Linked DNA regions of Drosophila melanogaster. The protein of the gene in region 4 interacts with the protein of the main gene of each other region in a pairwise test. Each region holds a gene or a part of one and is shown on either strand. Other genes may lie near its edges.

Region 1 (7,730 bases), on a different chromosome or scaffold from region 4:
CGAACCAAAGTCGCGCCGTGCTCCGCCATTTGTATATGAGCCAAATAAAAATGCATACCAAATGAGGTTGGCAGCACTGCCAGGATTTCGAACGGCAGGAGCGGTTGGAGCGACTCCTGGGGCGGTATTATTCGGAGGCACTTGCGCCAAACTTTGCTGCTGAATATTCCATGAAGTTGCCAATAAAGTCAAGTGGCAACGACTGAAGCTGTGGCTGCACCAGTTACAGTGCATACACTGAAAGAAGTTCGGGCATTTATTCCAACTAATTTGGTTTTACCTTCGGTAACAATTATAAAATTATATTTTTTCAGACATTGATTATTAGGAATATTCAGCTCTGAGAAGTTAAAACTCCAAAAGTACTGTAAAGATAACAATTAGATTCCAGAGGTTGGTTTTATCCTGTATCCTTACCCTATAAAGCTATGAGATTGGAGCTCCAAGGTTTTAGACCAAGCGGGTACGCCAAATCGGTGATCCTTTAGGTGGGTACTAAAAAAATATCCTACAACTAAATATAAGGATTTTCACAGAAAGTCGACAAGCAGTTAACTGATTTAAAGTTAATTGAATTTCACCAATAATCTGAAAGACACAACCTATTCTCCCAGTGATTGTGTAGATACACTTAGGCTAAGTTTGTTCTGGTTGTTGCTGTTTTGTCTGCCACCCGACTGCAGTGCGACGCTGCATACTAATTTTCCACAGCCCTGCCACCGCCCATCGCCCACCGTCATCTCGTTCTCATCTTGGAATCGGAACCACCACCACCAGCCTCTTAGCCATCTCCTCCTGCCCCTGCATGAATGCGATGTGGTGGTCTGAGCCTCATCATTTCGTATTCATACCAAGCACCAATTCCTCGTCGTTGCTGCCGCTGCAGTTATTGTTGTTGCCTGCTATTAAGTGAAATAAAAGTAAAAATGCAATAAAAATGTTGGCCGCCTCTCGTTTTGCATTAAAATTGCATTACAATTGCCGTGGATGGGGCGCTGTTGTTGCTATCTTTGTTGCTTTTATTACGGCAATTGTTTCTGCGTTGTTTCTGCCCAAATGAAATCCAATTAGCCGACTACAAGGCCTACCAACCAACGACTGCCAGCAGCAGCAGCAAAACAGCAACAATGACATTGCGAGGCGGTACGAAGAGAAATGGAGTTCGCCTCGTGACTTTTTCCAGAGTCCTTTCCACTGCCAAGTGGTGTGCGTGTGCTTTTGTGTGCCTTGCCAATTGAATATGCAGTAATTGCCTTTCTTCATTTTTGGCCATGATTTTTTGCTCGTGTCTGACACAGAAACATGGCCAGTTAAGTGCAGAAATGAATATTTATAGTCGTTACTTCTAGGATCGGACTCCGTTTAAATGCAAAGTGAACGGTTTGATTCTGCAGCCCACTCTCAAGAAAAATTGAATAATAATCAAATTATGAATAATGATATTATAAAGATAGGTAAAGATATGTAGATATAATTAACTAACATAATTTAACATTGAACAAAAAGCTGCATATGCAGCTTAAAACCAGTGATCAATATGTACATACATTGGCACTCTTTTAAATCACAGAATAGTATTTGTGAGGTACAATATAAGACCTTAAAGCAAATCATGTTTAAGAGTAACCAAACTGTGCAAGTAGAGATATAGTAACCCTTTATTATGAAATATAGATATAATTATCCTCTGACCAGTAGCGAATCTCCTAAGCGTAGTAATGCATTATCCAAGTTATCGCAAATAGGATTTGGGATTTTCATAACATTGCCTTATTCTGAAGGGGTTCACATTCCACATCTCGACTCAGCTATCTCAGCTAATGAAAACGGAGTACGCAATCGCTTCTGGCCACACACACGCATTCCATCCAGGCCGGCTAGAACAACACCTGAAACTGAGACTAAGACTAGGACCGAGATCCCGGCCAGCGATGAGCAGTAACATGGCTCGTGCCCAAGAAAAACTGTCAATTAACCCGTGGGGTGAACTTGTGGAAAATGCCAGAGCTGCTGCATCCACTGCATGCCGCGCAATTTGCATTCGCATGGCCGGGGCAAATGGATTGGATTCCTGTGGCTTCAGCTCGAGTCTGCTTATCGCAATCGCCGCCTGCCAAATGCCAGGCGATAGCGCGTAGAACTCTTGGCGCTAATAAAGATCTCAGTAGTAAGCGGTGTGAGGTGGTGAGGGGTGACATTAGGCGGTGGTGCAGGGCAGCCCTCCTGGCCAAATCCGCTGCTTTGTGAACTCAAGCTGACAGAACGCTATTTCCAATTGTGCTATTAATCTGCCACATTTGCACTTCCGCGGAAAAGAGTCGGCGGGCGGATGTGATCTCTTTCGCTCGTCAGTTGGCTGACTCGCTCTGCAGGGGTGATTTGCGGGCGAGCGAGTGAGACAGAGCGAGGCAGAGTGGTAACGCTTGGCTAACCTGAAAATAGAAACAATCGAAATAAAAATACATTCTCTTCATGCTCTCGTCTAATAAAAAACCCCAAAAGCAAAACGTTTTCCATTTAAAATGTCGTCGCAACTGCCAGCGGGAAGTGGACGTCGAGAGTGGCAAGTGTGTGGGGCAAACTCCGGCCAGCGGCCAATGGCGGTTGGCCGAGGCCACGCCCCGTGGCTCAATTACCGACCAGTGCTGCCCATCGGCGGGCAGAGCGAAACCTGTTTCCACGAGCGAGAGGCAGTCAGGCGCATGTGCGATCAGAGCGGGATGGATGGCTCAAGGGTGGACCAACCAGAAGAGGCAGGTTGCTGGTATTATGGTAGGTTAGGTTCAAACAAGGTGGCAAACTGGCTCTTAACCGAAATAGGAAGGAAGTCGGCAGCGGCGTCGACGTCGGGCAACTGGTTTGACTTGTTTCCGGCTCACTCCAACAGCCCAAACCCACCAGCAATCGGCAGAGGCAGCCAAGTCGGCAGAGGGCAGGCAGAGCAGCGGCCGTCGGCACAATTTGATTGCATTTATGAAAAGCGTTTTCGCCCGCTAGCACGCGTCCGCTCCCAGCTCGCAATTCGCCATCCGTAATCCGTAAACTTTAATCCGTAGACCGTAATCCGTGAATCCAAAGCAGTTCTCAGTTGGAATTTCCCGCAACGGGTAGTGCTTAAGCGCGGAAACTGAATTGAAATCAATCGGACGATTAGTGTGTGCTTCGCGGTTGAAACACTCTACATCTAACTATTAAGAGAAAAGAGTGCCCAATAAGATTCGAAAAGTGCAGTGAGCGAGCTCCAAATTGGCGCCACTAATTGCCAAAATGTCCAGCCACGAGGAGGATGACCATGAGCACGAGAACGAGCACGGCGAAGAGGTGGAGGAACAGGAGATCCACGTGGATGTGGACTCGGACTCGCGGATGTCATGTGGCAGCGGATCCGATGTGGATATGGACGGCGGCAGCTGCTACGACGAGTCCGAAACGCCATTGAGGTGAGAAGGAGAGCTTTTAAATAGAACCAGGAAGTAGGAAAAATGTCCCAAAAATATAGATATTATCAGTATAGATATACCATAAATAAGCAGATCTTCCAATTACAATAAGACTTCTACATATACATACATATATTATTTTTTTAACTAGATTGTGATAAAATGCTTTGGCTTCCGTACTACTTACTTAAAACTGAAGAGGCCTTTTTTTTTAAAATTCATTTTGGTAAATATTTTTCAAATATGAATAACGTCTGAATTTATGTACGTTGCAAAATCGAACAATAAAAAATATTTTTGGTTTAATTGTATCGTAAATAATCTGCTACACTAAACTTGAAAAGAGATTGCATCTCTATTAATAATAATAATGGCTTTACTTTCAAATTATACGATGTACAAACATAATAATTGGTCTGAAACAATTCATTACGGAAAATCCCCAAAAAAAATATATTAAAGAAAAAGCTCAGTTTTTCGTTTACTCTTGATGGTTATGATCATCATGCAAATTAATAAATATTTTTTTGTAAGTACTGGGCTTGATTTAGTTGGCCACATTATTCGTTAATTACTCATAAGTCAAAATTTAGATCGACAGCAATTTGATCGACTAACTGAGAGAAAAAGATCTATAAGCTATAGTTATAATAGTTGGCATACAGTCTTATTTTATTGCCCTATAAAAGTCAAACAAGTATTGTGGCGGAGAAAAGCTATTTGCATTTGTTATTACGAGCTCATAACTCCCACTGTTTTACGATCTTTAACATTGTCACTCATAATGCTCACAAATCCTATTTTTCGAATCGTGGCTCAACGCCATTGAAATGCGTTGATGTTTAAGCCCCATTGTCCGCTCTTACAAATGGTCCCATTTTCCAGCGACAAAAGGGGATAACAAGATGCCAGAGCATCCAGCAGACCGTGTTAACTGATCCCATTCAAGCGTTTGTGCGCTTAGAAGAACAGTGTGAACAAACCTCTTAAACGCTAATGAATTGACCACAAAGCCACCAAAAGAATCAAGTCGAAATGTCCCATAAAGTGCCAAAGAAACTCCCTGAATTTACATAGTTCACGGATGGCCAGGGTTTCCAATAGACGACGACGATAAAACGCACATTAGTAAGGCGCCAAAAACGGGCTGTGATAAGACATTGGGGTCCATTTGGGGCTCAATCTGGAGTTGGATCTTCGGCTTGAATGCCGGACAAAGACGAAATCGTTTGTCGGATTAACATTTTAATAGAGATCGTCATAAAAATGCCATAAAACCCGCGTTCCAGCGAATGTAGATCACCAGATAGCAGCAAGTTTTGGCCAGTGAAATAATATGTGTTTGCTCATAACTTTTGATATTGGAAAGTGTCTGTGTGTCGGTGGTTGGCGATTTGAGATCATTGTTCCGATACAATTCCATTCCTGTTCCAAATGGGTTTTTACTTTTTGGATTTATAAATTAAATGCCGTGCGTGACTTGTTTTCGGTGCGTCAGTTGATGGCATTTGATGATTTATGGGCGCGTATTAAATGCCTCTAACGGCCGTCAGCATTTGCATAATTACTTCATTTCCAGCCGCATTGCGTATACGCAGCGGTGGCCACACGGGTTCTGCATGTCATGTCGTCAACTCGGCTTATCCGCTCGCGTGGGCTTTTGGTTAGTGGTTCCGAGACTGGTACGCACTGCAACAGACTTAATTATAGTCAATGTTCTCAGGCTTTCCCGCTTATCGGGCGACACATTTTAATGAGCCCGCACCTCCAGAGGGCTTCTTTCCCTTCGATTCTGATGTCTTTTCTCCGGTTTTTATTCCCAGCGAGTCCCTGCAGTCGGAGCAGACGCGCTCCTCGTCCAGTGAGAATCTGCCCTTCAGCATATCACGCCTGCTATCCAAGCCCTTCGAGACGAGTCACCACCACCACAACAACAACAACCACCTGCTCAGCAGCAGTCCGGGCTCCAGCAGCAACAACAACAACAGCGGCGAAAAGGGCGAGGAGAAGGAGCTACTGCAGCAGGAGGACCACGACCTGGCCTATAAGCTGGCCACCAGCATCGCCAACTCGACATACGGAAGCGCCGCAGCACTATACTCGTATCCGCATCTCTATCCCTCAGCGGCCGGCGGTCATGTGCTACGTGTACCGCCCCAGAGAACGCCGCTCACCTGGGCACTACCGCCACTGCATCACGCGGCGCTGGCACATCAGGCGGTCAAGGATCGGTTGGCAGGTGAGTGAATAGCAGCGAAGTCAAGAGGGTTTGCCAAATCCAACCCATTCGGGGCCCCCATGTCGGGATGGCCCATGTTCGCCGAGATCTTTCGGGGGAGCGATCCTCCAATGACCCGCGGTGGCAATTGCTACTGTTCCCCAAATAAGCACGATCAGAGAAGACTTTTAAGGCAACATGCCTATCGGCATGTCATTGTTGGCCAACACATTCGTGCACCAAGAGAAAATGTGGCATTTGAAATAAAAGAATTGGTAACATTAAGAATAAAAATGTTATATATGTGCCTACATAACGCGTAGTTGGATGCATTCAATTGTGCAATAGGGTGTAGGAACATAATTTTAAACTTCTTGATAAAACATATTTTTGTATATTCATTGTTGAAAATAAGGTGCGAAGAACGTTGTCTAATGGTCTAAAAGGGCTTACTTACATATTTCCTTATAATATAATTACGATGGTCTATTAGATGGTATTTTCTGTGGGTAAGAAACAGCTTAAGGCTAGAACACAGGTCTCATAATACGAATTTTCGCTCAGTGTACACTCACTCTGGTGAGCTTGGGATGCTAAAGTATAAAAACATGTTTGCCTTCAAATGCGCAATCGCAGCTTAAGTTAAAAACTTAACGCTGAGCCGCCGCCCAGAAGCGACTCAGGAATGAGATGCGCCTTCTTATTTGCATGCGCATGCGCAGTTGAATTTGTATCTGTATCTGTCGCTGGTCCTCTGAATCCGTATCCGAATCTGTATCTGTATTCCATCTGAATCTGCAACTTCACGTGCAGCTGGGTCTTCTGGCTCCCTTTTTGTTAATTTGTTTACATTATGAGCTTCACTTGTAGCTACAAGCGATGGGCACAGCGCGAGCCCTTTGAAATAATGAGACGGCGTTGATTTTATTACGCCTCGGCAGCCGAGGGATCTTCAATGGTGTGGAAGGGGGATCCCGATAGGGTTCGGATCCTATAACTCATAATATTCGGGCCTTTTTCGGCCTTGTGATGTGGAAAAGCTGCTTAGGAGCAGCGCAGCCCGGCAATCTGACGGGCTTTTATGGCCGACATCCGCCCAGTGGTTCTGGTTAGCTGTTTGGCCTTTTTCTTCATTTTAGTTATTTTAATGAGCTGGTTTACATGACTTTTTAATTTCGCGCTGCGCTCGAAAAGGAATTAATTACGCATTGGGCGGTCGCTGGGCTCAGCGAGTGAGTTTTCTGTCCTCGCCGGCTTATTTATCGCCGCATACCGCACTTCACATTTGAGTCCAACTGACATGGTCAGCTTTTAATTAGCCAGTCGAATGCTGGCGATCCGAGGGCTGCATATCCATATCCATACTTGTGTGTATATCCGCCGAGGAGGGGCATTCGATCGAGTGGATCGTATAGAATGGAATGGGATCGGATCAGTCACTTCGAGTCGACTATTCCACCTGAGGGGCACACTTATGAGCCCGCCGGGTGATCCAAGCTTCTGCCGCTCGGTTTCGTTTTGTCAACATCTTCGTTTTCGTCTTGGTCTTGGTCTCGGCCAACGTCTGTGTCTTTTTGTGTTTATTGTGTCGCTTGCCTTGTGGCTGATAAGCTGGCGCCTTGGCTTTTTTCATTAACAAGACAAACGAGCGTCCAGGGTGCGGATCCGATCCGATCCGATCCGATCCCTTCCCGCGACCAAAGTGCTCCTCTCTCTTCCGCCGGGGCCCTTAGCGCCATATGATTAATAACCATCGCATGTTAATTCTCGTTATTTTTTGGGAAACTACGTCGCAGCAGGCGCCAATTACTTTTCGGCCATGCACGCCCTAATGCAGTTTCATAACAGCCATAATAGCCTGATTGGAAGGGAGTTGGGCTTTTGTCACGACACTTGCCCACACGAATGTTACCAATCAATGGCGGAGTAGGATCTATAGGCTAGTGTATAGAAATTCCCTTTACTAGGGAGCTCCTTTAGTAATTTAGTATTTAATATTAAAAAATGATGTAAACTCCGTGAGACTGTATACTAATTTGCCATTTAACAGTTCCCATTTGCATGCGCTTTGA
Region 2 (8,382 bases), 4.3 Mb from region 4:
GAGCCGGCATCAGTCGCTTCAGGCCTACAAGCTCAACTCGCAGGCTCGCGATGCCAATATGCAAAGCCATCATCTGGCCAAGAACGTGTTTGAGTTCGTCAAGCTGAAGTACTTGGAGAAGCAACCACCGTCGGTGGCATCCACGCCGCAAATTAGCATAATTGCCGCCGAAATATCGGCGGAGCTGCCGGAGCAGCATGTGGCCAAGTCGGCAACGGCGCGCATTCCAACGAAAACATATCTGGCCAATGGCGAGCCCGTGTTTCCAGTCGTAGTCTTCGCCTGCAATCGGGTGTCGGTGAAGAAGTGCATCGATAACTTGGTTCAGTACAGGCCCAGCGTGGAGCAGTTCCCCATTATTGTGTCACAGGTAGGGATCGAAATGGGCTACCCAATCTAAATCTTATACTTATACTTATGCTCTAATACAGGACTGCGGCGATGAGCCCACCAAGGAGGCAATCCTCTCGTATGGCAAACAGGTCACGCTCATCGAGCAGCCTGATCTCAGCGACATCACAGTGCTGCCGAAGGAGAAAAAATTCAAAGGCTACTACAAGATAGCCCGACACTACGGCTGGGCCCTGAACACCACCTTCGCTGTGGGCTTTGAGTTCGTCATAATCGTCGAGGACGATCTGAACGTGGCGCCCGACTTCTTTGAGTACTTCCTGGGCACGCACAAGCTGCTCAAGCAGGACCCCAGCCTGTGGTGCGTGTCCGCGTGGAATGACAATGGCAAGGCTGCTGTTGTGGACGCCGCGCAGCCGGAGCTGCTCTACCGCACCGATTTCTTTCCCGGTCTCGGCTGGATGCTCACCAAAGATCTGTGGGCCGAGCTGTCGGTCAAATGGCCCAAATCGTGAGTGGGGCAATTATGGTGTTTGCCAGCCAATCGCTAATGGTTCATTAACTGTTCTAGCTTCTGGGATGATTGGATACGTCATCCCGCCCAGCGCAAAGATCGCGTGTGCATTAGGCCCGAAATATCACGCACTCGCACGTTTGGAAAAATAGGCGTTTCCAAGTAAGAGATATAGCTAGCTAACAATGCAACGTGCCAGCTAATAATGATAATTTGTTGTTTAACAGCGGTTTGTTCTTCGATAAGTATCTGAAGCACATTAAACTGAGCGAGGACTTTGTGCAGTTTACAAAAATCAATATGAGCTACCTGCTGAAGGTAGGTACACACCCGTGCATTGTTGCCTCATTACACTAACAACTATTTCATGTTCAGGACAATTACGATAACACGTTTCTGCGGCGCGTTTATACGTATCCCATTGTTACGTACGATGAGCTGCGGCGAAACCTGATTAGGTGAGTTGATATATGATATATAGAAAGTATCTACATAATTCCAATTATGGTGTTGCAGAATCGAAGGTCCAGTTCGCATTCAATACACTACTAGGGAGCAGTACAAGCGGACAACTAAGATGCTGGGTCTTATGGATGATTTCAAGGTAGATCAATCAATCTATGTGCTTGAAACTATGATTATTCTTAATCTTTGTAGAGCGGTGTTCCGCGGACTGCCTACCATGGCATCGTCTCCTTCTACTACAACAAACGGCGCGTGCATCTGGCACCCAACGCCAACTGGAAGGGCTACGAGCTCTCTTGGAGCTAACGACGCTAAGGACAGAGTACCGCCAGCTCCACTTCCATTACCACGCAGCTAGCTCCGCGTGCTTGCAATACCAAAAATAGCCCTATGAGTTTTAATTTTTATTTGACCAATTAGCTAAGTTGTAACTATGGAATCTCCTCGAACAGTAGACGCTGTTCGCAGCCATCGCGTAGGCAGGAGTACTTGGAGTACTAGCCCTGATTTCTGATAGAAAACGCAATTCGTCTGCTCCAGATCCCTAGCCTACGGACCTACTGTTGGCGTAACAAAATCAAATCAAATGAGTCTCCACTATGTATAGTAGTCAACCGAACCGAACTGTGTGTGGCAAGAGCCAAAAGTGTTCCATTCTAGCACACCAGCCACACAAGCAACGCAATGAATTGTAAATAAGTCAGTGTCGTTCGCTTTTGTTACAGCTCTCTCTATCTGTCTATCTCTCTCAATTTATCGTGTTAAATTGCAAATAGTTATAGCAATGGTTAAGTTATAGTATGCAGCGTGTAATTTGTAGCATTTAAGTTGATCCAACTAGAGTTCTAACGGCAACGGACGTGTAATATTTGTGATTTTTGATTATTTAATTTACATTTATTAATTGTTGAGAGCCAGTCAGTAAACAGTACCCGACCCACACAATGTAACATAGAATAGCAATAACTAGCGCTAGTACTAGTACTAGAACCACAACGTAAACTAGACCAGTGCTGAGCCACCAGGGGTACGCCAGTAATCCCGGCCAGATCTGAAAGTGTGCCACTCTCAGCTAGTTGTAATGGAATCAACCCAGACAGGACACCTACTCTACTACCCCCTATGACTACACTTTGTATGAGCATATTTTTGTGTGTATGAGAGACGTACGGAACATAAATTCTAAAGACAACCAATCGCCTTTTCACTCCGCAGCAGGTGGCTCCTCATCCTCGTCCAGATGCTCGCAGTCAATGTCGCTGCACTCGGACTCCGATTGTGTGGGTCTGCGGCTCCGCTGCGCCTGATTTAATCCATCGTGGCCGTAGGCTGTGGCTGTTCCAGCGACTGGCGTGCTGCGTTGTTGCAGAAAGTTGGCATTGGCATCCCCAAAGACGCGTTCCAGTTCGGCGAGGCCATTGGAGGCGCCGCTTTCCGCTTCCGGCGGCAGCGTCGCGTACTTCATTTGCAGATAGCTCTCGTTCGTTGGCAGTGACGCCGCGTAGTCCACATAGCTGGTCGCATACGGCTTGCAGCGAGGGATGTAGCTGGCCGCAGGCACACCACCCGCCGGCGGCTTAGCCACGCCAAAGGGCAGGGCGAAGTTCAAGGGTTGTCCACGTGCCAGTATGGCATTACGGGCACTCTCCATCACACTGGGACCCGGCAACGGTGGCATTCCGCCGCTAGTCGCGTACGGACGCATGGGTGAGCCGGTGGCCGTCGTTGCTGAGGCCATGGGTGCAGCGGAGCCACTGCCATTTAGCATAATGGACTGAATGGGCGTGGGACCCGTTGGCGTTTGGCTAAAGAGCCAAAGGCGATCACCAACCACCATCGGCCTGGCCAATCCCCCGATACCCAGCTGGGCGTAATAGTGCGAGGCCAGCGTTTCCACGTCCGAGGTGTACTTGCGCTTCCACTTGGTGCGGCGGTTTTGGAACCAGATCTTGATCTGAAAAGTGAAATGAATGAATGAATTATTTACGAGGAATGCCAATTGTATCTCATAGATACAAGGGATTTCATTTCATGTTATTAATCGCTTTTAGATAGAATGGCAAACTTTTTTGGGTAGTAATTAAATTTTTTGATAGATTCCACAACTAACCTGCGTTTCTGTGAGCTGCAGCTGCTTGGCCAGTGCAGTTCGCTTCGCCACCGAAAGATACTTTCCCCTTTCGAACTCCGTTTCCAGTGCTTTGATTTGAGCTGCCGAGAAGGCGGTACGCGGTCGCTTTTTGCGGTCATCACCAAGGCCTGCAATGGAATCAAAGTGGGAAATCGAAATCCCAATTAGACATTTATTGCTACCGACAGCGGGCAATCCGGCGCGCGGTGCCAACTATTTTCGCCTAATGGTAATTTGTCGATCCGTTGTTGGCACAGTTGTATGTGTATGTAAAATGCCCCGTCGCACCGCAAAACCCCTGGCAAATTGCAAATCACACTGTTGCATTTCACTTAGCCAAGGCGTCTAATTGGCCATTTTGGCATACATTCTCTTGGCCGACCGAAAACAAATAGCCATATAAATTCCTTCTTAACGGGTGGAAGAATATCTCCTTTGAGATCGCCAGCGATCTTTGTTCGCTTGTGACATTTGCATCATTAGTCGACTGCGTTGGTGTCGACGAAAATGTGGATATGGAATGGATGGCTTATTCCCTGTCACCCAGAAGCTAATTTCTGATCATTTGTTTCTTGATCGCACGGATGACAGATGAGATCATTCAGCCATAGGCACTCACTCATTCGTTCAGGTGGGAAACTCATTGCATATTTACATACAATAATGAACGGCTGTGCTGAGCTCGTTATGGGTGATTCCATTAGGAGGTAAATCATCTTTTAGAGACATTTTTTTTCAGAATTTAAAATTTGTATATTGTAACTGTATTATTTGAAAGATCCTTGATAATTCCTTGAACCTTGATAATACTACACTTAAAAGCACTAAAGCACTGACTATTTGGCTGTTGGTGCTATTTATCCTGATGAAGTTCAGTATAAATCTATATTTTGTATATTTGCTATTTAATAAGGATCCAATTGAGCTTTAAGTTAAGTTTTTAGATCCCAAATCCAATTCCAGACACCAAAATTCTCGTCGTTGTAAAGCTTATATTCCGGCATATCGATCATACGCACCGTTTCCATCATCTGAGGCCAAATCGATATCACTTTTGCCGTCGTCCATGTTGTCATCCAAGCAACTCGATGTTGCCGGACTGGAAGCCCGTGAAGCACCGAGACAATTGCCACCGCGACCGCTTTCATCCTGCACGGAGTCCTCAAAGGAAGTGGAGCTGCGCATTTCCGGCTTGGCCAGAATTTGTTCGATGGAAAAACTGTGTGGATAGCGACGCACTGCCGATTGCGAATTCATGTTTCCGCCGATTGCGAGCGATATATATTTTGAAGATATTCCGGAGACAACAGCGCGCGTGGAGATCTTACGGAAAACTAATTTGAATATGCGGAGCATCCTGCTCACTGGCCGATTTTTCAAGATGATCGCCTGGCGGGGCGGAGCCTAAAATCATATATCTCCGCACCGCTCACACCATATGCGCAAATAGAACGACAGAAAGGAACAGAAACATACTATTCGATTTTCACTGAAGACAGCACACAAGTTCGGTTATTTTTAAAACATGTGTGAAATGTTTGGGATGAGGGGCGTGGCTCGCGTTCAACGCCGTCTTCTGGGTTTTCGAAATTGTTTTTGTCGCCTTGCCCGTGATTAAAAGTCATAATTTTTGGCTAATTGTCTACAAGTAGCGCTATTTAATATTTCGATGGCTTTGCTAAATATATTTAATACGTTTGCCAACATATTTCATCCATTTGATTAATGAACGGCGAGCAATTTCTTTGACTGGATTTGTTTTCAGTGCTTTGGTGTGCAGGCACGTGTCCTCTTTTGGGTTAATTCAGAATTCTTTAAACAATGCAGCATTCAAAAAATTGTATTCAAATGTACAAATGGTTTCTTTGTCGATTTTTTGGAATTTTTTAAATCTCTTAACAAAGTAATACAAGGCCATTAGTCTAAGTGATTGTAACGCAATGCATAATTGGGTTCTACTAGCTTGAGAAACATTTTTAATGTGTATAATATATTCAATTTAAATCTGAGAAACAGTAATTTTGAAGCACAACATTTTTTGAATCATAACTTAATTGTTGAGTTTTTAGAACACCTTCCTTACAGATATTTCATATTATAACTTTCTATTTCTTTGAATCCCAATCCCAAGCCCCCTGTAAAAATTTCATTAATTCGAAATTATGAACACATAATTCAGACAGAATGGAAAATGGAAAAGGGGCACTCAGGATCCGAATGGAGGGGAGGATCTGAGAAATTAGCCGGCGGCCTGGCTGACACTAGTTTCCAATTGGCCAGCAGCCAAATCCACAACATCTACTGGGCTACAGGGTGCCCATTCCTGGATGCGCGGATGCCCCATGATAACGTCTTCATTATTCAGGCGCGATTTGAACAAAATATCTGAAAACACGTTAATTAGTCGCCGAGATGGCGGAGCAAAAAGGGGAAAGGGGACGAATCGCAGGGCATCCATTTAGCCGGCCGGGCTGTCAGTTTGATTTAATTTAATGAGAATTCTGGCGGGGATTCGGATTCGGTTGCGGATGCGGGGGGGATCTAGATCTGCTTATGAGGCCGCATGCCCGAGTGTCGCGGGCACTCAAATCAAAATGACAACTTAATTTTCATAATTGCGCTTAATGAATATTCGACTATTGCTTGCCATATTTCAAATTCCACTGCCAAACAGAATGCAGACTTTGTTTCGACTTCGTCATTTTTGAGTATTTACCAATTTGTTGGCTACTTTATAACCTATCTATCCATGGGTATCTATGGAATCACATTCAAGCCGAACATCTGAACATAAGTATTCTATTCTATCTTGTTTTGGCTAAGTCAATATATTAAGTTTCCTAACTGGATCAGAGAAATCTGAGGAAGGAAATGAACTTGCAGATATGTTTAAGTATTATTATAAGATTCTCAGCATAACATATTTTGCATACCTCTTACCACTTTGCACTGGAATTTGCCTCTGGAATTTCGAATCAATTAAGGATCTTTTGGCCCTTATTGCGTAAGACGACAACCATAACCTTAGGCTAACTAAAGATCAGTTTGTTTGGTTCTCGCATTTAAGACTAAATGGAGCGCAGTCGCGTCAGAATTTAATTAATAACCGAGCATGCATCTTCATTATAAATCATCACTTCTCGAGTGTTTGTCAGGCGCACGCAGCATAAATCACGTCCGGAGTTGCACTGGCAGTCGCGTGGAACAGTCCGTCCTCCGGCCAGAATTTCAATGTTTTTTGTGCCCTCTTTTTGTCATCGCATCCAGCTAATGATGCATCAAGTCCTGCAGGGTGTTAGCTACATCTAACTGCTGCCTCGCTGCCACATCGATCATTGGGCTGCTCCGGACTAACATCTGTATCTGTATCTGAATCTGTATCTGGAACGGGCATCGGTGACACTCCCACGCCATTGACTCTCGGATATTCGTGTGGTTTCCGATTACGCCGAAGGTGATGTTGGAACTCCTTTTGCGGGCGAGCATTGAACTCCTTGGGAAACTGTATCCTGATTGATTCGTTGGGCTGTCTATTTGTTTGCCTCGAGGCTAATTTGTGTGAAGACCTATTAGAGCTGGTTATGGAAATATGATACCATGATTAGGTACTTAGAAACTATGTAGAACAGACCGCAGAGAGAAAGTATTAAGAAGGCATTCAATCAGGTGGTATAAATATGTATAATTTTTTATACATATTGCCTGTTAAGCAGCTTGTATTATTAAATGAAAACTACTTAAATTTTTCTATATTTTTGAACGTATTCGTTAATGCGGAAATTAAATGCAGATTGCATTATCCTGCCAAAAGACCGCCATAAATATCGGTGATGAATTTTGGGATCTCCACCCATCTTATGCTGTTAATTTCATTCATAAAACTGCCTCCGGCAAACCAAAAAACCAGCCTACGCCTTATAAACTGACAGATATAAATAATAATTAAGAAAAAAAAAAAAAAAACGGGAGAGAATGAACTGCATATTATTAATTTAATGTGCGCTCGTTTCGAATTCGGAGTCCGTGGATGGGAAGTGGGCTCCCAGTTTCCAATTCTTGGTGCACTTTTCTGGGAAACATGCTTGGGGAGGAGCTCGAGGAGTAAAAGGCGTCATTCCGTCATTCCGTGTGGTGTTTATGTTGCAGGCGAGCAGACAAGACTCATAAATTACAACCAATTATCAAATTAGATTTTTACAAAACATGCAGTTTAAATCATATAGGAGTGTTTCGCTTTTTTTACGACACAATCAAACAGATTCCGTTGGCTCTTCTCGGATTTCCCTGCCTGTTTTTTATTTGTATATTTTTTTTTTGGTTTTTATTTCTCGGATCAAATGGTGAATCAATTCGAATTCATGGGCTACTGATGGAGGCAATTAAAGGAAAAGCTGTGCAATTGGAAAAATTAGCAGACAATGCGAGCCCTGACAACTACGCGCAATTAATTTGGTGTAATTACTCAGGACTGAGTGACAGATCTGGAGACTGGATGCATCTGTATCTTTTGCCTTTATTTGTATCTCGAGTGTGCGGAGTGCGCTGTGTTGCCACCTCAACGCATCGATGGGATTCTCCTCGATCTTCAACAATTGCGGCGGCATTTTAACGAGCCAAATGGGCTGGCGAGAAGATTCCCTCCTCGAGTGGCGGAAAATTGCCCCCACATCCCCAACCCAGTGGAAAAGGGGTGCAGATCCACTAGTGACTCTACTAATTGACATCGGCAGTCTGGCCTGTGATATCAAACAGTTTCACGCACAAATTGAAACTGATAATTGTGTCGGACAGATTTATGGGCCTAAGTGATGAGCATATGTTTTAATTAATTTCCAAGAAGTTACTCCCAAGTTACTCCCAAGTATATGCTTGCTAAAATCTAAGATCAGTTTCCATAGCCAGGTAATGCCGCGATTTGACG
Region 3 (10,956 bases), on a different chromosome or scaffold from region 4:
TTCGCGGAGCATGCGCAGAGTCTATGTTATGATTGTCCATTGAGGGTAAAAAGAAATCTTGTGGATGTTGTGGAGGATGTTGAATATTTTAGTTTTAAAACTCCAACATGCCGGATGTGGTATACTTTTGCAACTATTATTAGCATAATATAATAGCATGGAAAATTTAAGAAGATTTTGAAGGGTTGAATTCTGAAATGCACACTTACATGGTGGAAGTCTCATCAAAGGTTAGTTGCTTCAGGACCTTGCCACTCTTGGTGGTAATCACGCCGGGTCCGCTATCGCCGCTTCCCGCCATATCTTGAGGATTCTCACCCAGATACACCAATGGACAGGAGTTCTTGCGCCGTGGCACTGCTCGCGGCGCACTGCTCATTGCTAGACAAGATACGAGTAGATAACTCAGTGGGGGGAACTACGTTTCACTGGCTTACCTTCCAGATTCATGGACTGCCTTCGCTTGGCACGAACACCCAGCAAACTGTTGACCATCCGCTGGCGATGGGCACCGCGCACGCCAAATTGCTTCAGCTCCTTGTCCGTGATGTCCACCACATCGTCCACGGTGCTGAACTCCTGTAGGTTTCCTGGTTAACATAACATACAGTCTCAATTGGGAACTGCTGATCATGCAAACCTTCGTACTGCTGCAGCTCCAGAAGGTCCAGCCACTCGCTTATGCTCATCCTAGAGTTGTGCACCATTACGGCCAAATCTTCGCGACGACGCACTGTGTTCGAGTACCGAAAGTTCCACAAAATGCCTACGAAGCGGTTACGAAATGTGTGATCATTATGATCAGAATCGGAAACCGTATTTTCGCCACTCACTGCTCCTCCGATTCGGCACTTGGCGGTTCTCCAGTTGTCGGGCTTGGGTGTTGCCCATGTTGCCCAGGCTATCTTTGCAAATCCAATGTGCAGATCTGAAAGATCTTTAAATTCTGGAGCAGTACCAAACACCTAAGCTGAAACTCAACCGCGCACTTCGCTTTGGGAAAAACAACTGAACGTGAGCAAATGTTGCCCAAACAGACTTCTTCAACTGAGCTGAAATTGCATATGTCATTCACCGACTGTTAAATACCCTAAAGGAATTACGCATATAATTATAAATCATATATGAACGTAAGATTGCAGCTAAAGTATGAGTAATATATATTTATTGTTTCTATTCTATTCTCTATTTAGTAATGTTCTTTAAATTCAGCTATAAATCGTTGTTATTTTTTTATAGTTTTCTATAATTTCAGCGGAGTCTTAAAGTAATTGAAAAAATGAACGAACTCAGCCAAAGAGACCGACAATGACAATAAAGCCCAAGTGAGTAAGATTTCAATGTCGTGCACCAACAATTTACCCTCACTGTTTTTCTAATTAGTGCTCTATATCCGCAGTGCCCCCTCCTCTCACTCCCCTGTCGCGATCCACCAACCGATCCGATCGTATTGGATAAACCCATTCGCACCCCCGCGCTTGACCAACTCACTCCAGTCGTATTTGCTCTGGCCATTCAGTCGCGTATCGTCTTTTATCGTTCACTTGATTAGAGAAGGTCTCCCCGTTGTCGCCGAGTTTCATATTCTGCTGATCGCAGCGGTATTTGCTTAATTAAAATTTCTGTTCTTGCCGCGTAGCATTGCGTATTTTTATAGCTTCATTCTATGGAATAGTGAATAATAAATTAATAATAAACCAAGCTGTGAATTCACAAGTTCATTTTACTAGAGAATTTATTTTAAATAGTTTACACATAAACGTTTAGATTATCTTACAGATTGAAATAATTTAAGTTCACTTTGTGCAGTATCTGTCTACTTTACATTACATTACAACTAGCAATGAAGGAATAAATACATCTACATGGCATTTTACACGTGTAAACGGAGCTATCTACATAGGCGGCTCTACTCCACCACATTGATTTCAATATTATCATCTTCGTCGGCCTGCTCGCTCAAATCCACACTGGAGCAGCTATCGGAACTGTAGTCGAGTGCCTCCTGGGGCGTACCATCACCGGATGGCGTGGATGTCTTGAAGACACCTCCGGATTCGGGTACTGCACTCGGCTGCTTCTCCTGGCCACTCTTCAGATTCTCGCGCGTGTGCCGCCACTTCATGCGACGGTTCTGGAACCACACCTTGACCTAATCAGGGTATAAAAATAATAATATATTGGTTTTTATAGAGCTATGAAAGGAGTCGAATGTGCAAATGTTAAACTATGAAAATCCCATCTTTTAACTAACCTGAGCGTCGGTGAGATTCAGTCGTGCCGCCAGCTTGCGGCGATCTGGCTTGGTGATGTACTTCTGCTGCTGGAACTGAATCTCCAGGCCCTTGCGCTGCAGATTCGAGAAGACGGCGCGAGACCAGGATCGCTTGCGCTTCCCATTGCTTCCGGCTGAGGCGTTGCCCTGGCCATTGCCACCTCCATGTCCATGTGCACCGTTCTGGGATGTGGCAGCGGCGGCGGCGGCGGGCGAGGTGGGCGCTATGTCCAGGAGCTGCTGCGGCGTCTTGCCCAGAAATCGCTGCTGCTGTTGCGTCAGCTGGAGGCTCGTGAGGCTGTGGAGCGGCGCCAGTAGCGCCGAGGCTGTCGTCGAGTTGTGTGGCGGGGGCTTGTGCTGCTGATGGAGGTGTTTGGGATGGTGCTGATGATGATGATGCTGCTGGTGCTGCTGCTTCTGATGTTGATGGAAGCGGAGGAGCGCATTGGTAGCCAGCGTGGGATAAGTGGGTGCGGCTGTTCGGGAATGGAATGTTAAAGTCAATTGGGAGATTCATACTTCCTTCATTAGCAATAACTCTTAATTTGTTGCTATACTGAATCCGGTGCGTTTTTTACGCACCAATTTGGATATTTATTTTTATAGGAAAACTACCATTAGTTATGGACAACATCCTCCCTTGGTAGCACATTGCATCCGCAGGAAATAATACATTTATCGCCGGCCAAAGAAATGATACTTGTTTCGCCAAAGAAAATATGAAATTCAATTTTTTGTGTTTTCTGAGTAAATTATTTTGATCAATAAAATGCATGTTGAGAATTTTTAAATGGGCTTGTTTATAATAAAATTTTCACTTAATTGGAAATTATCATTGAAGCGTTTTGTGGCTAGGGGGGGCAAACGAAATTTGTTTACTTCTAGCGCGAATCTAAACAACAACAATTACCTCTAGAGATCCAAAATTATTTGGGGTAATCGAACACGACATGGGGCACACGAGGTTGAGGTCGAACCAGGGTGCTTTACTTCCCTTAAATGTTTTTTAAATATCCAAGAATTTATACACGCAGTAAGAAACAATTCGAATGACGTTGACTTTCCTATTGTATTTCCAATCATTATTGGCATTTACTATCCTTTATCTAACTACTGAGTTTCAATCAAGATCATTACGGCATTTATCAACTCAAAGGACTCCGCTGAAAAGTATGCTACAAAAAGTTCCTTTGAATCCTCAGTTCACGATAATGTTCACTAATGTTGATATGAAATGTAATCCTGATGTTGTTAAAAGGCCACAATTTTAATTCCTATCCTTGACTTTTTCATTGAATTTTATTTGATTTCAAACTGCAAACCATTCCTCTTTGTTTGTAGCCAACGCTAAATTATCATAGGTATTTTTTATTGCCTTTTTAACGTTGTGCTATGTGGAATTCGATTTGTTTGTGTGCTCGCGGCATGCGCCTAATTGTTTTCGAGATCGAGCGTTTTATTTACTTAAGCAACACACTACTCGATCGATTGTGTGTATTTACACTGCAGCGGAAATGCGCTTCTGCACTTGTGGATACAATTGTATCTCAATCCGTGCGCTTGTGTATCTGCATCGGGAACGCCAATGGAATCTCAGCACATCTGCAGGGGCTAATAACGCCTTAATTGGCCGTTTTGGCATTTGGCTTGTGTCAACCATCGGGGGTTTGTTATAATGAGTTTTCACCGACTTTCAACACCTTGGATGTTGGCCGGGGCATTGGGGTTCACTCACAGCGCGAGATCATTAATTGCCGACTTTCCCGTTCAGATACATTTACAAAATACCGCCAGCGGACCCGTAAATATCTTAATGAGTTGTGATAATTTTTCGGATGCCATCTTAAATCACTCAAGGGTCTGGGTTGCAGATGCATCTCCAGTAGGATGTGTTTGCGAATCGTACATTTCGCAGCCATATTTAAGTTGCATCGATTTATTAGCACGATGCATTCCACATTTACGACTTGGCGAATATTGTGGCTTATTTCGCGGTAAATTGCGAATGATCTTTTGGGGTTAAGCAGAGCACTCCCAGTGGGCCATGTGCTATGGAAATTTCGACTACCAGCTCGACAAGCGGAGTATGTGTTTATTTGATTGATTTTAATATATTATACATATGTATCTACTTCCGAACATCCGAATCTCTGACTTTTACCAGCTAACTATGCACTAAGATATATTATCTGCATTATGTACTTTCAAAATATTTAAGTGAAATCAAAAGTATAGCTAATATTTCAATTGTATATTTCGTGAAATATCTTTAGCTACTTGGGATTGTCGTCAATTTTCACTCAATTCATTATAGTTAATCCTATAGTTGTGGTATCTACATACATATATCAGTCCCGTTAATTTGAGTTGAGTGCGTGGTAATTATTATTGCTACAACCCTCCCCTGCTGTTGGGAACTTGAGAAAGAGTCTTCAAAGTTCCAAAAGAAATCGTCTGAGGGCCATCATTAATCAGGGATCTTCGAACGCTTTGAAAGTGCATCTATCAGTTGGATTAACATATAAATTGCTAATTAATTAGACCCACGGCGCCGGATTATTGTTCAGACAGAATTTCCATATCAGACAATGGTCTGTAGCATCCAATCGATCGATGGATGGATCGATTGATCGGCAGCCAGAAGAGCAACAACAACAGATCAACAAACTACTCATCGCCAGGCGGGACAGGCAAACAGCAACAAATAGTCGACGGAGGAGCCGCAGAGATCTCGCTGGTCCATGATTTTATGATGTGCGATGCGATGCAATCAATCCATCACGGAATAATTCCGCAGGGGCCGGCAGGTTGGACACGGCGGGCAGCCACAGGGTAGCCTCCTCCTGAAAAGGCCACCACAGTGGGTGGTTGTGTAAATACTTGGCCTTTTGGCTCGGCCCCCAAAGAACAGCGCATAGTTTCACCCGTGCCCGTGCCCGTACCCATACCCGGTACAGTCATCCATCGGTCAGCAGTTCCCTGTCGTTGGCCTAAACGGCAGCCGAGCCTCATTGGAGTCGGTTGAGCCGCAGTAGTTGGAACCGTGGCGCCCAATCTATCAGAGATCCGCGTCTCTAGCCGGGCCAAAGATGCCTCCACCTGTCGAACTCCTCGGCCGGCGGAACAATTCATTAGAGAGCGGGCAATTAGATGGATAGCTATCTGTATCTGCCCATGAATGACGGGCCAATTGCCCAAGCAAATAAACAAACTGTTCGCCACAAACGTTTTCCACGATCCGTGTGAGCTTGAAGTTTATTTTTAAAGACTGACTCGTAATTTGTTCATAAATTGTTCTTAATTTTCCACTTTGGTCTTTGGCATCTCATCTATTTGCGGTGCCCAAAGGATTGATGAAGCCTTTCAGGTGCTGTCTGTTCTTCGTTTTTTTTTTACCGATCTTTTGTTGATTGAGCTATGTCGAATTTATTCGCCTTACTAATTGCTCCTCCCATTTTTGGCTGAGCAAATGTGTTTGAAAACCACTTAGCACTGATGATAATTTTCATTAATGTTCCATCATTGTGTGAAGTGTAATTTATTTAAGTTTGGCGCTAATTTTGCTACATAATTTAATCGTGTGCTGGAATTTGGCGGAATTTAAAGGGCTATTAGTATCGAATTTACGTTGGATGAATCAACCAAAGTCTTTTTTGAATATGTTTTAGTCGGCTGTTAAAAAATTGTATTTTGCTACTTGTAACTAGGTCTAAACTATAGTAAGCTTTAAGTTAAGCTCGCTAATACCATTTACACATCATTTTAGTATAGCTCCACATATTTGCGGGTCTCTTATTTTGAAATAAATTAATATCTCAGACATTTCCTAATCAATTTATCCATTGAGGAATCCCAAACCAAATATGTATCTCATTTATCCGCAAAAGATCTTTAAGATCGTTTAAGGCCCTCGCATTGTTAGCACCCACTTGATAAGAATTGTGTACAATATTGAATGGGAAAAGGCTGTGCTGACGATATGTATAAAACTCAAGCAGCTTGTTAAACAATGAACAATTTCTATTCGAAAAGCGAAACATTTACCGATTATGTTGCTCTCACTATTTCCATTTCCATTTCCATTTTCACATAAACAAGATCAAAGTGCGCTGGCAGCCTGCAGGCTTTATAAGAAGTCTTCGTCCCCAGATATACAAAAACAGCAGGAAGTACGGCAAATACCCAAAACAATCCGGACTATTTTGTTGTCGATTTCAAAAATCGAATTGTTTTCGTCAAGAGCCAAAGGCGCGGAACATTTGGCCGCAGGAATATTGCACAATATGGCTGCAGATCAACTAATAATTCAAATAAAAACGTGAAATTTATTGGGGCTGCGCCTTAGGTTCTCACTCTTTGTGTTTCCAGGAATGTTCATTTCCCATTTGGCTAAATTCCATTTCACGATTTTCTCTGCAAATCTCAACATGGCTAATAATTATAGTCCATAATTGAAAAACAGAGCGAAATAGCTAAGGAATTTTGATGGGCAAATGGCGAAGCCACCTCATCAACTCGTTTGATCGTTCCCTGAGATCCTGCATATTTCCATGGAAAGAATGCAGAATGATTGACAAATCGCAATATCTGATTAGCTTTGATCAGTTTTATTGGCGCTGCAAGTGCACACAACATACGGGGAGATTGAAATAGTGCAGATGATAGATCGTATCTACAAGATAGAGTCATGGGTATAAAATATTATTTTGATAAGTGGTACGTTGTTGGAACTAGAAGAGGTTCACTGCGAACGAATGATGTTTCAATAGCTTTCTGTATGGAGCTGATTCCTTTTAAGTTTAAAAGTATCTTAAAAATACACTTAGGTACCTATAATCCATGTAATACGGATCAGTACCAATATAGTTCATATTAATTTAAGGCATCCCTTACAGAGATTAAATGTTTTCCTTCTATCAACTCGGTTTGCTCATGATGTTCCAAATGCCGTGCACTTAATGGTAATTTTGAATGATTTACTTTCAAATGGACATTTTTTTTGTAAAACCTGCTCGGATTCAAAGGATGTTCCCTTTTGAGTATAGTGCATCCTTACCGTGTTCTGCTGCCCGAATTGGCGTCGGTCTGAGCACTGATTTGTAATCCATATAGGGGCCAGGGAACAGCTTATCCAGACCCACGAAGGGGTACGTGTGCGATGAAGTGGGTGTGAAAGTGGGCGGAAGCGTGGCATGTCCAAACCTACGGGATTCGGCATTCGCCTGGCTGAAGCAGTGGGGGAAGGAGCAGCAGGCTAGAATGCTGCCATCGCAGCATGACTTGGTCGAGGGCGAGGAGGAGCTCTGCCGGTGGGATTCCTCGGGTTCCGAGCCCAACAGACGATCCACACTGAAGCTCAGCTTGACTTTGGTGGTGCTCGTGGCGCTGGTTGGCGACGTACTGACTATGGTAGTCGAGGCACAGGATTCTTTGGTGGGCAGCTCATGATCGACATTCACTGGATCGGGACACTTTGCCAGCGTTGGATTCACTTCACACTCGCCGTACATGTGAGTGCTGAGGTTCTCGGGCATACTCTGTTCCATGCTGGCGGCACTCTCGTGTAGTAACATTGTCCGGATATGTGTTGTATATGGTTTCTATCTACGAATCTCGACACAGGACACTCAAAACTGATTTCACACGTTCACAATCGATAGGGACTATCTATCATGTCCAAAACACCGTCGCTGTGCACCAATAAAACGATCGCGAATTTTGGCTTAGGTCTCGTGCACCTCCGATTAAACCGCCTTGCAAGACATCCCACTCAGAACTGATCGGAACCGGCCAGGGAGCACGCTCAACCAGCCATCGATTGCCGATCGGCCAGCCAACGCGGAACAGTCTGTTGGCGGTGGGGTTAATCTCGCTGAGATTGTGTATTCCTGGTGCTGACAGTGGGGCAAGGAGTGCGAGATGATCAGGATATAATGCTAACAATAAATAATGGCTATATGTTCGATATACAGGATATACAAACCAGGATATTTTTTTATCCAACGTGTATATTGTTTATAAAGTAATACTCAAGAAGAGTAATACTATCAAGAAAGATTAGATTTTTGGGCTTCGGTTGGTGGTAACATTGGTTTCTATTCCGCTGAAGATCTATATACCTCTAGAAAGTGCCCTAAAATTATGTTAATCCACTTACCATAGACCTGATCCCACTGTAGCCACACACAGATGGGATACCTTGCCATGCCGATCGCTTGTTTACACACAAGCATGCCGCTGTGTCATTAGCTCAGTCGGAGATCGTTTCCTCGAGCGCAGCCGAGATTTGTTTACCGATTTCTCCATATGTTCCCGTACTCCCACACACAGACACACACACCCCATCCGAATTCCGGTTTCCCTGCGCAGAGGCCATGTCGAGTGGCTCGTGGTTCGTGATTTCTGGCCAATGCGATCGATCCGCAGTGGTGGGCGGAGCCACTGGTGGCGCTGATGCGGCATCTCGCTTTCGCGCCCAAGGAATGTGCCTTCCATTGGCTTGGGATTGAGCGATCTGCGCGAACTCCACCTGCTCCACGCTGTCTGGGTTCAATGAAGTGGGTAACCGGGACTGGTGGTCATAAATCAGAAACCGCATTCCACAAGCGGAAATCCGCAAAACGGAACACGAACGGATCGTCGGGGTTGGAAAACTTAAGTAGAAATGTGTAAATTGCGGAGCGAAACTGGCGTTATTAATAGGAAAATTGTCGTGACTACCTTAAGATAGCATACTTTCCGGCACAAAACTCCCATCCAAGCGGGCGGATTTGGTGCCAAAAACACCCTAGCACCACAAGCCCACAAAGTGACCCAGAAAATGTGGAATATGCAAATGCAATGGCAGCGGAAAATCCATCGCCAGTCGGTGACACTTTTATCCTCTTCAAAGTGAAGTCCGATTAATAATAAAATAATCCTTTTTACTTAAAAAAAAAGATTCAGATACATTCCAGGATATGCCGAACGTTCAAAGATACTGATTGGAAAGAGCATGGCTTAAATTCCATTAACCCATTTAAAGTGCAAATTGAGCCTTAGTGATTGTAGCCAACAACTTTTCCCGGAAAATTATAGGGCATACAACAAATGAAAGCGAAACGCAATCAAACTATGTAAACAGACACGAACGCCACTTATTCTTGAGGAATCGCTGGAAACCGCAACCAAATCGTTGCGGGGCAACTCAATTCACTTTGGCCCAGGAACAGTGCGCTGCCACCACTCGAATGGAGTCGTTCTCAGCGTCCAGGTGCTCCACCATACCGTCACCACTGCCGCACAGTGCCAGTGGCATGGACAGTCCGGATATCTGTGAGCCGCCGCAGGATGAGCAGGAGTTCTGCTTTCGCTATCCCAGCTACATGTTTCCGGACGTGGAGTACGACAAGGAGGATGTGCCGCTACCCTTCAAGGCCTCGCCGGACTCGCTCTTCAATCTCTGCGCCGCCGTCGTGGATTCCCAAGCCCGCACTGAGGTCTTCAAGTGGAGCATCAACGATGTGACCGACTGGCTGCGCAACTTTGGTTATCCCGAGTACGAGGTGGGCTAAGATTCTTACTCACTATGTTGGGTAACCTATAGCTTCGTTACAGCAAACTTTTCGGGAGAACTACATTGATGGACACAAGCTGCTGAATCTGGACGCAGTTGCTCTGGTTGCGCTCAACGTTCGCAACTTCGAGCACATCCGCCACCTGGGCCGCGGCATACGAGCGCTTTACAGGAAGGAGCTGCAAACGGCGACGGAGACCAAGCAGCAGAGTGAGGTCTATAAGACATTCCGGGCCCGCACTGGCCGAAGGTACGAGGGATTGCGGGAGACGGAGCTACTGGGCCGCATGCACATGATTCGCTCCGTTTTCCGCGACGTCAACGACTGGGATCTGATGGAGCTGCACATGTCCAGGGCGCCGGTGAGGCGGTATCGCGAGATCGTCGCTGGCTCCAGACGCTACAACCTCTATGGCCCATCGACAGCGCGCCGGGAACCCATCATTACGGACGATGTGGATGCCACACCGTGGTACAACTTCGAGGATTGCTACTGATTCACTTTCAACTTGAAATCGTGGTTAGCTTTTGGAGCAATAAAGTAACTTCTTTAGTGGACAATTAAATTTTAATTGAAGGAACGGTCAGCTTAAATCACTTTCTCTGCGCCATCGACGATAAGCACAAATTGGTGGCTCTCCAAGTCAAATCCTACGACTGCCCCACCTCATTGGATCACCGATGCTGCCCAATCAGTCGACACGGCGCATTGATCACTTATCGCTCTGAATTGTTGCTTTTGCTGTTGTTTTGTGGAGGGGTAGTGGGGGACTGGGAACTGGGGACTATAGGATCAGTGTTGTTACCGTCGAGAGCCGTCCGCATTCGCGTCCGCTCACGTGTTCAAATTTATTGATTGTTCTGCTCACAAGACACGGCGTTCCAGCTTTTCCTCCGCAATCCAGCGAACTGAGCTTCGCTCTGAGTTTTGAGATCTGGGCACGGCGTCCAGCTGTGCGGCATGGGAGACGTACGTGTGGTCGGCTTATGTTATATTTCCCGACATCTTGTGTGTCCGTCGATCGGTGGGTGAGCATAGCATAGACCGAGATTGAGTCCCCTGCTCAGAGCTATGTACGCCTAGATGCAACCTAAGACGCTGCCACGCCGTCACACACTGGCCATG
Region 4 (6,221 bases):
TGCGACGCAACGAGCGTAATGTGATGAAGGTTCCTCGTACCATCCGTGAAACGGTGGCTGCCAAACAGCTCTTTGAAAAACTCCTGAAGGATGTGCCAGTGAAGCAGTCCGCATTTACTCCGATGCTGGAACTCTTCGTTCTGCTGCACAAATACCAGGTGAAGCTTAGCGAGGAAACATTTGAGCAGGTTATGGGATTGGAAACGGCTTGGCTGCATTACCTTCAGGTGCTGGAGGAAGCGGATGAGATGCTGGACAATGAGGACAGTGAGGCCAAGTTGCTATTGGCCAAGCACGGCGAAAAGTTCAAGTTGATATTAAAGGATTTCCTGGAGGATTTCTATTCCAAATTACCCAAGAAATAGGAGTATCATAACTATTATCATAAGTGATAATCAATTTATTTACATTAAATTTAATTTGCACACCTACTAGCTGAGTAATGGGTATGTGATAGTCGGGGAAATTAACTATAGTGATTTATTGAAAAACATGCAAATACTTCTCACATTCCGAACTTTTATTAAACTCTTTTTTCCCCAATTGAGTCCTGCCCAGGATTACAAGTCATAGCAGAGCGATTTATTGGTACAGGGACAACCATCGATGCCGTAACGCCCAATCGGAATGTCCGTCTGGGTCTCCTTGTGCTGCGGTCCTGGCAACTCGTAGAATTTCTTACCAAAGTATCGATCCGGGAGATAGTACGATGGATACTCCGCCCTCAGCCTCTCGTGATCCTCCCGCAGAAATTTTGCCAGTTCGGGAGTAGCCCGTCGAGCTTCCAGGCGATACTGCTTCGGCTTGGCCATTCGGATTGGAACTTCCAGGTGGAGCTTCGAGTGCGGTATGTAGGACAGCAGCTCCTGGTCGAGTTTCACTGCCTGCTCTGCACGAATTTGTGCGCAAGTGGCACACTTGCATTTTCCACCATGGTAGCAGTACCGCTTTCGTCCATCCTCGTCCACCATCAGCAGTGGGGTGCAGATGGGCGACGGAACCGGTTGTGCCTCCGTCTGCGTGGCAACCGACTCCTGGGCGGGATCGGAAAACATTGTGGAAAGAGTGGGGTTCAAATCGGAAAGGTACGAACGATTTGGATTGCAGAATGAAACTAAATATCGGAGAAAAACAGATGTATTATCAGCAAACTCCTTGGCAACTAGATATCAAAAATTACAAATTTTAAATTAAACATTTTATATTGTGCAGCTTGATTAAAGTTTCCAAGTGGCTGGAGACACCTCTGCTGCATCCACAACTAAGTGCAGAGTGAGGATATGCAGCGGAGGAGTTCCACAGCCAGGTGAGATCCCCATGCCGATCACAATCTTTTATCCTCAATCGTTTATCCCCCGTGCAGTAAATGTTTTTGCTGAGATCCTTCTTATCCCGCTTCACAAAACCACAATCCGGACACACATGGGACATCGCTGGATTTCTTTGTGCAGCCTTCATCTGAAGATAGTAATCCTTGAGCTTTCGCTGACGCACTTCCTCGAAGAACTCGCGCATTTGTGGCGAATCCCGAACAGTGGGCTCCTCGATGGGCTTCCTACTCGCTTGCATTGGACAGACGACATCGTCGTGTTGAGCATTCTTCGACATTTTCAACTGATCGTGTCGGCCGCTCGTTATTTTGCCTTTTCGCGAAGAAGAGGACATATATGACATGTTATCCAAATCCGTGATCCTGATCGAAGCACTTGTCCTCTTTGGCACTTTGGATGGCATGCTGATATCTCGACTTTGCTGCGATCCATTCGTGAACTTTCGAACGTAGGTGTTGGCCCTGGTCATTGACCCGGTCGTTTTGAGTAAATACCAGTTGAGGCCCATTGGTAGTTGGTCGATAGTCGAACTGCAACGGTAGGATAGCTTTTTCTAAAACTGGAAATTTTGACTAAAAATATATCGATACCTGTGATTATGGAAAATAGAACTTAATCCAAAGGAATCATTAAACTTTGCACACAATAAACAAAAAAAAAAAACTAATTAAAACTAATAAATAGCGTATCCCCCTATCTTTGCGTCATGATATCTTATCATATCATTTTAACATGCCAAATTGCATCATGCTAATCATTAGGTAGGTACTGCTTCTCTATAAACCATAAAGTGCTTTTAATGATTAGAAAGCTTTTCATTTCCAATTCGCTCTTATCGTGTAATCTCTAACAACGAATGAGCTTTTGGAGAGTAGTACAAAATGAGCTATATGAAATGGTTTATGCTCATTCGCTATCCACAAGCGAAGCGGTTGGGATCGTCAGTACCGACGAAATGGAGAAGATCGAGGCTGAGAGGCAATGGCTGAGATACACGGTTCTTCCGTCAATTCTGAGGAACGGGCGCCTGGTGGACAACTACAGCGAGTCCAAGGTGACCACATTCCATGTGGGGGACATCGACATTGATGTAATTGGCCACTCGGAGGCCTTTATGCTAACTTTTTGCTACCGGACAACCATTAATTTTGAATACGACGGGCAAAAGTTTCAGCGAAAAATGGTGGTTAAGGTAGGTTTATTCCATTCACATAGTATAAATAAATCTTAAACAATCTATCTGGATATCTAAAAACACAACGAAAAGATTTACTATACTCGCGGAATTTAAATTATATTATATAAGTGCCTTAACTGCGTACTACTTACCAGTTTTGTTTTCCAGCAAACTCAGATAGCTTAGTGAGAGTGTGGGTTTTATGGCAAACATTGTGAAATAGAGGGAGGCATCTCAACAAAAGAACAAAGCGAATTGATTTTGAATTCAAAATAAATCACATCTAATGATGAAGTTTACTTTGGCATGCAATGACCCCAGAATACCAATAATTAATTGTTTTTTTTTTTTTTTGTAGAAAACACCTGCTATGCCACCAGAAATGTATGAATCCATACAGTTTGGGCCCCTTTTTACCAACGAGATAAATTTCTATACGGAAATTCTGCCAGAGTTTCAGAAGTTCACCGATGGCAAGTTTGCCGCACCCAAGTACTATTACGGCGAGTTGAACCAGCATTCGGCTGTGGCCATTCTGGAGAATTTCGCGGAGCAGGGATGGCGGGTCACCAAGGATCGTGTGGGTCTGAGTCTGCAGCACGCCATGATTGCCGTGAGTTACCTGGGAAGGTTCCATGGCTTTGCGTACGCCATGAAGCACAAGAACCCGGAAAAGTTTGCCCAGCTGACTGACAATCTGAAGGAATCTCGCTATGCCAACGATAACATTCATCCGGAATGGAAGCTCACCATGAAAACGAGCATCGATCGAGCGGCCAAGGCGGTGGCCACCTATCAGCCACAGATCGACGAGGAGTTTGTTAAGAAGTTCTGTTTCATGATCTCGGACTATTCGCAATACGGTAGGCAACGGGTGGCGCCCAGGGAGCCACTGGCCACCCTGTGCCACGGCGATTATGTGAGGAATAATGTGGCGTACAGGTACGATGACAAGGAGGAGCCGCAGGAGATCATGATGTTCGACTACCAGACATTGCGAGTCTCCTCTCCCATGGTCGATCTCAACGTCTTTCTAGCCGTGTCCATTTTTGCCGAGGTACGCGATCCAAACTTCGAGGCCATCTTCTGTGAATACACCTTGGCGCTTCATAATAGCTATAGGGAGCACGCCAAGGAGGAGGTTCCGGATTTCCTAAGGTGAGTTGTTATTATTATTCATTATTCATAAGCTTTTAAAATTTCAAACAAGCGATATGAATGCAAATCAAAAATCTAAAAATACTCATTAGGTGCTCGATGTGATAAGATAAGATAATCCTGTAAAGCTTTTTACTGCCAAGAAATAATATAATACTAATTACGCTATTTCTTAGTCGCGGTGAGCTTCTGAAGGAGTACGTGCGTTTCCTGCCGTACAGCTTATCCATATCGGCCAGTTTCCTCATGAGTTTGGTGGATCCCTTGGACATCTCGCCCGAGGAGATGTTCGCCTTGCAACTGTCTGACGAGGAAATCATCGAACGGACCATGAATCGAGGTGGAGAAGTTGTGGACAGGGAGGTTGCTCACCAGGTTAAGGAAATGCTGGAGCTGAGCCAGGCGACAGGGGTGTCCATTGATGACGGCATTGATCTTGACAAGTTGCCCAAGGAGTAATCAATTGATAGCCTAATGTAAAAGTATTCAGGCATTTCAGGTATAGCGTAACTGTAGATAATAAAATAGATGTTAAAGTGACATGCATTACCTATTTAGAGTTTAATACACTGTTTAACCGTGACTAGGAATTTTTAACAGTGGTGGGGGAATCGTAAATTGTGGGCTACTTAAGATTTATAATCTTATCATTGCGTTTTTTTCAAATGTTTATTTTTATAACTGTTGCTTTTGTTTTGATCGCACAACGCCGCAGCTGATTGTGTTTTTGCTGAACTGCCAACCTGTTGTAGTTCTGCGTTAACCAGCACTGTCACACATGTGAGAGTGAAATATGAAAATGGTTCAACCTTCGCGGCAGCAAATTTTGCGTTTATACAAGCATTTAATTCGTTACGGCAATCACCTAAAGCTGACCGACAAGAACTACTTTCTGGGAAGAGTTCGCCACGAGTTTCGGGACAACCGTTCCCTTACGAATCCCGTGGAAGTGGAATTCAGCTTTAAGGTAAGTGCCACTTTCGTATTTCATAACTGATTTACAAAATGAACTTATATTTCAGCGCGGAGAGACCCTGCTAAAGAAGGGACGCATTCTGTAGGAATGCTGCGAGGTCTGGTGCGATTCCTGGCGCTGCCTCCGACCGCTGTGCGCTGCAAGTCCAATCTGGACTACTCCCGCTTTCCCGTGCTTCAGGAGTCGGATATCGAGGAGACCTTCATGCGCGGCAGTGGTCCTGGTGGCCAGGCTGTCAACAAGACATCCAACTGCGTGTTCTTGCGCCATCTACCCACCAATATAACGGTCAAGTGTCACACACATCGTCTAGCATCAAAGAATCGAGTGGAGGCTCGTAAACTTCTACTGGAAAAACTGGACGTGCATCTAAACGGAGAGCATTCAATTGCCGCGCAAGTCAAGGCACAAGAGCAGAGAAAGTCCACTGAGCGGCGGCGGCGACAGGAAAAGCTGCAAGAAATGAAGAAAAGCTGGCAGGATAGAGAGCGCACAGATGGGGGAACCAAATCTACCGATAAAGAGTGATAACTTTTACTTCTAAAACGGTCTTTTAAATATTTATTTTTGGAAAACAATGGGTTACCAACTGGAGAAATCTCCAAAACCATTCGCCAGTTTCTTCTTCTTGGCTGCTTGAGCGGATGTAAGTGGCGCCTCTGGCTTTTTGGCCACTGTCTGAAGTTTCAGGTACTTGCCTACGCCCTCTCTGTACACCTTCAGTGGCTCCTTCATGCGCTTTTGCTGCTCCTCCTTCTTGACAATCTCCTCCTTGCCGGCCGCCTCCTCCTCGCGCTCCTTGGCCAACTGTTCGGCTGCCTCGGCAAATGGATTCACAAAGACCTGTGAGGACTCAATGATGATGTCCTCAATTGGTCTGTCCTTGTTATCCACCTCGATATTTTCCATCTTTTGAAGAGTGTCTAATCCTCCGACAAGCTTTCCAAAGATGGTGTGTTTGCCGTCGAGATGTTTGCAAGAGCGATAGGTGATAAAGCTACGAAACAGCGTATACTTGCAAAAGCATTGAAAAAATGTCACTTTGTGGTACTTACAACTGAGAGCCATTGGTGTTGGGTCCCGAATTGGCCATTGATAGCACTCCTCGGCCCGTGTGCGTAAGATTCGGCTTAAACTCGTCCTCAAACTTCTTGCCCCAAATGGACTCGCCACCAGAACCACTTCCAGTGGGATCACCACCTTGCACCTGTGGATAAAACCATAGTAAATTAAAGTTTCTCTCAAAAGAGATCGTACTTACAATAAAATTCCTTATGGACCGGTGAAACATAACATTATTGTAGTAACCATTGGCGCAATGCTTGATGAAGTTATCGCAGGCTCGAGGAGTTTGATCGCAGAAGAGCTCCAGGTTGAGAGGGCCAAGGTTCGTATTTAAACGAACGTAGCCCTTCTTTTTTACCCGCTCGTACTTGACCAAATCATCATCTATGATAGCCGCCTCTATTTGGGAAACGGGCACCATGGCGGTAGACGTAAAACTGGCCGCCACCGCTCCAGTTGAATAGTGAGCTGCGTTGAACTTGTCAGCTGTACGCTTCGAAGTGGAGGCCTCCTC

What was found.
Region 1: the proteins of CG30324 (region 4) and C15 interact in a two-hybrid assay, tested with the Drosophila melanogaster proteins (one large-scale study listed by BioGRID).
Region 2: the proteins of CG30324 (region 4) and lms interact in a two-hybrid assay, tested with the Drosophila melanogaster proteins (one large-scale study listed by BioGRID).
Region 3: the proteins of CG30324 (region 4) and H2.0 interact in a two-hybrid assay, tested with the Drosophila melanogaster proteins (one large-scale study listed by BioGRID).

The regions. Positions count from the first base shown.
Region 1 is NT_033777.3:21,496,991-21,504,720, forward strand, and holds the start of C15 (C15), read left to right. Parts: upstream 1-2,995; 5' UTR 2,996-3,267; coding exon 3,268-3,440; intron 3,441-5,263; coding exon 5,264-5,679; intron 5,680-7,730.
Region 2 is NT_033778.4:20,553,294-20,561,675, reverse strand, and holds lms (lateral muscles scarcer), read right to left. Parts: upstream 4,800-8,382; 5' UTR 4,719-4,799; coding exon 4,481-4,718; intron 3,590-4,480; coding exon 3,441-3,589; intron 3,285-3,440; coding exon 2,535-3,284; 3' UTR 1,723-2,534; downstream 1-1,722. Other genes in the region: Mgat1 (mannosyl (alpha-1,3-)-glycoprotein beta-1,2-N-acetylglucosaminyltransferase), read left to right, coding at 1-370, 432-862, 923-1,027, 1,093-1,183, 1,241-1,323, 1,382-1,469, 1,523-1,636.
Region 3 is NT_033779.5:6,011,346-6,022,301, forward strand, and holds H2.0 (homeodomain protein 2.0), read right to left. Parts: upstream 8,058-10,956; 5' UTR 7,849-8,057; coding exon 7,332-7,848; intron 2,752-7,331; coding exon 2,255-2,751; intron 2,153-2,254; coding exon 1,910-2,152; 3' UTR 1,714-1,909; downstream 1-1,713. Other genes in the region: CG9098 (uncharacterized protein), read right to left, coding at 210-381, 438-590, 641-766, 834-891; CG13996 (uncharacterized protein), read left to right, coding at 9,505-9,819, 9,872-10,327. UniProt on the Drosophila melanogaster protein: May play a role in pattern formation during embryonic and imaginal development. Is not essential for visceral muscle morphogenesis.
Region 4 is NT_033778.4:16,287,086-16,293,306, forward strand, and holds CG30324 (uncharacterized protein), read right to left. Parts: upstream 1,149-6,221; 5' UTR 1,056-1,148; coding exon 561-1,055; 3' UTR 501-560; downstream 1-500. Other genes in the region: CG9068 (uncharacterized protein), read left to right, coding at 1-365; CG30099 (uncharacterized protein), read right to left, coding at 1,186-1,839; JhI-26 (juvenile hormone-inducible protein 26), read left to right, coding at 2,287-2,523, 2,867-3,666, 3,843-4,125; CG42372 (uncharacterized protein), read left to right, coding at 4,466-4,633, 4,689-4,727; CG30100 (uncharacterized protein), read left to right, coding at 4,730-5,170; CG7747 (uncharacterized protein), read right to left, coding at 5,225-5,639, 5,698-5,849, 5,904-6,221.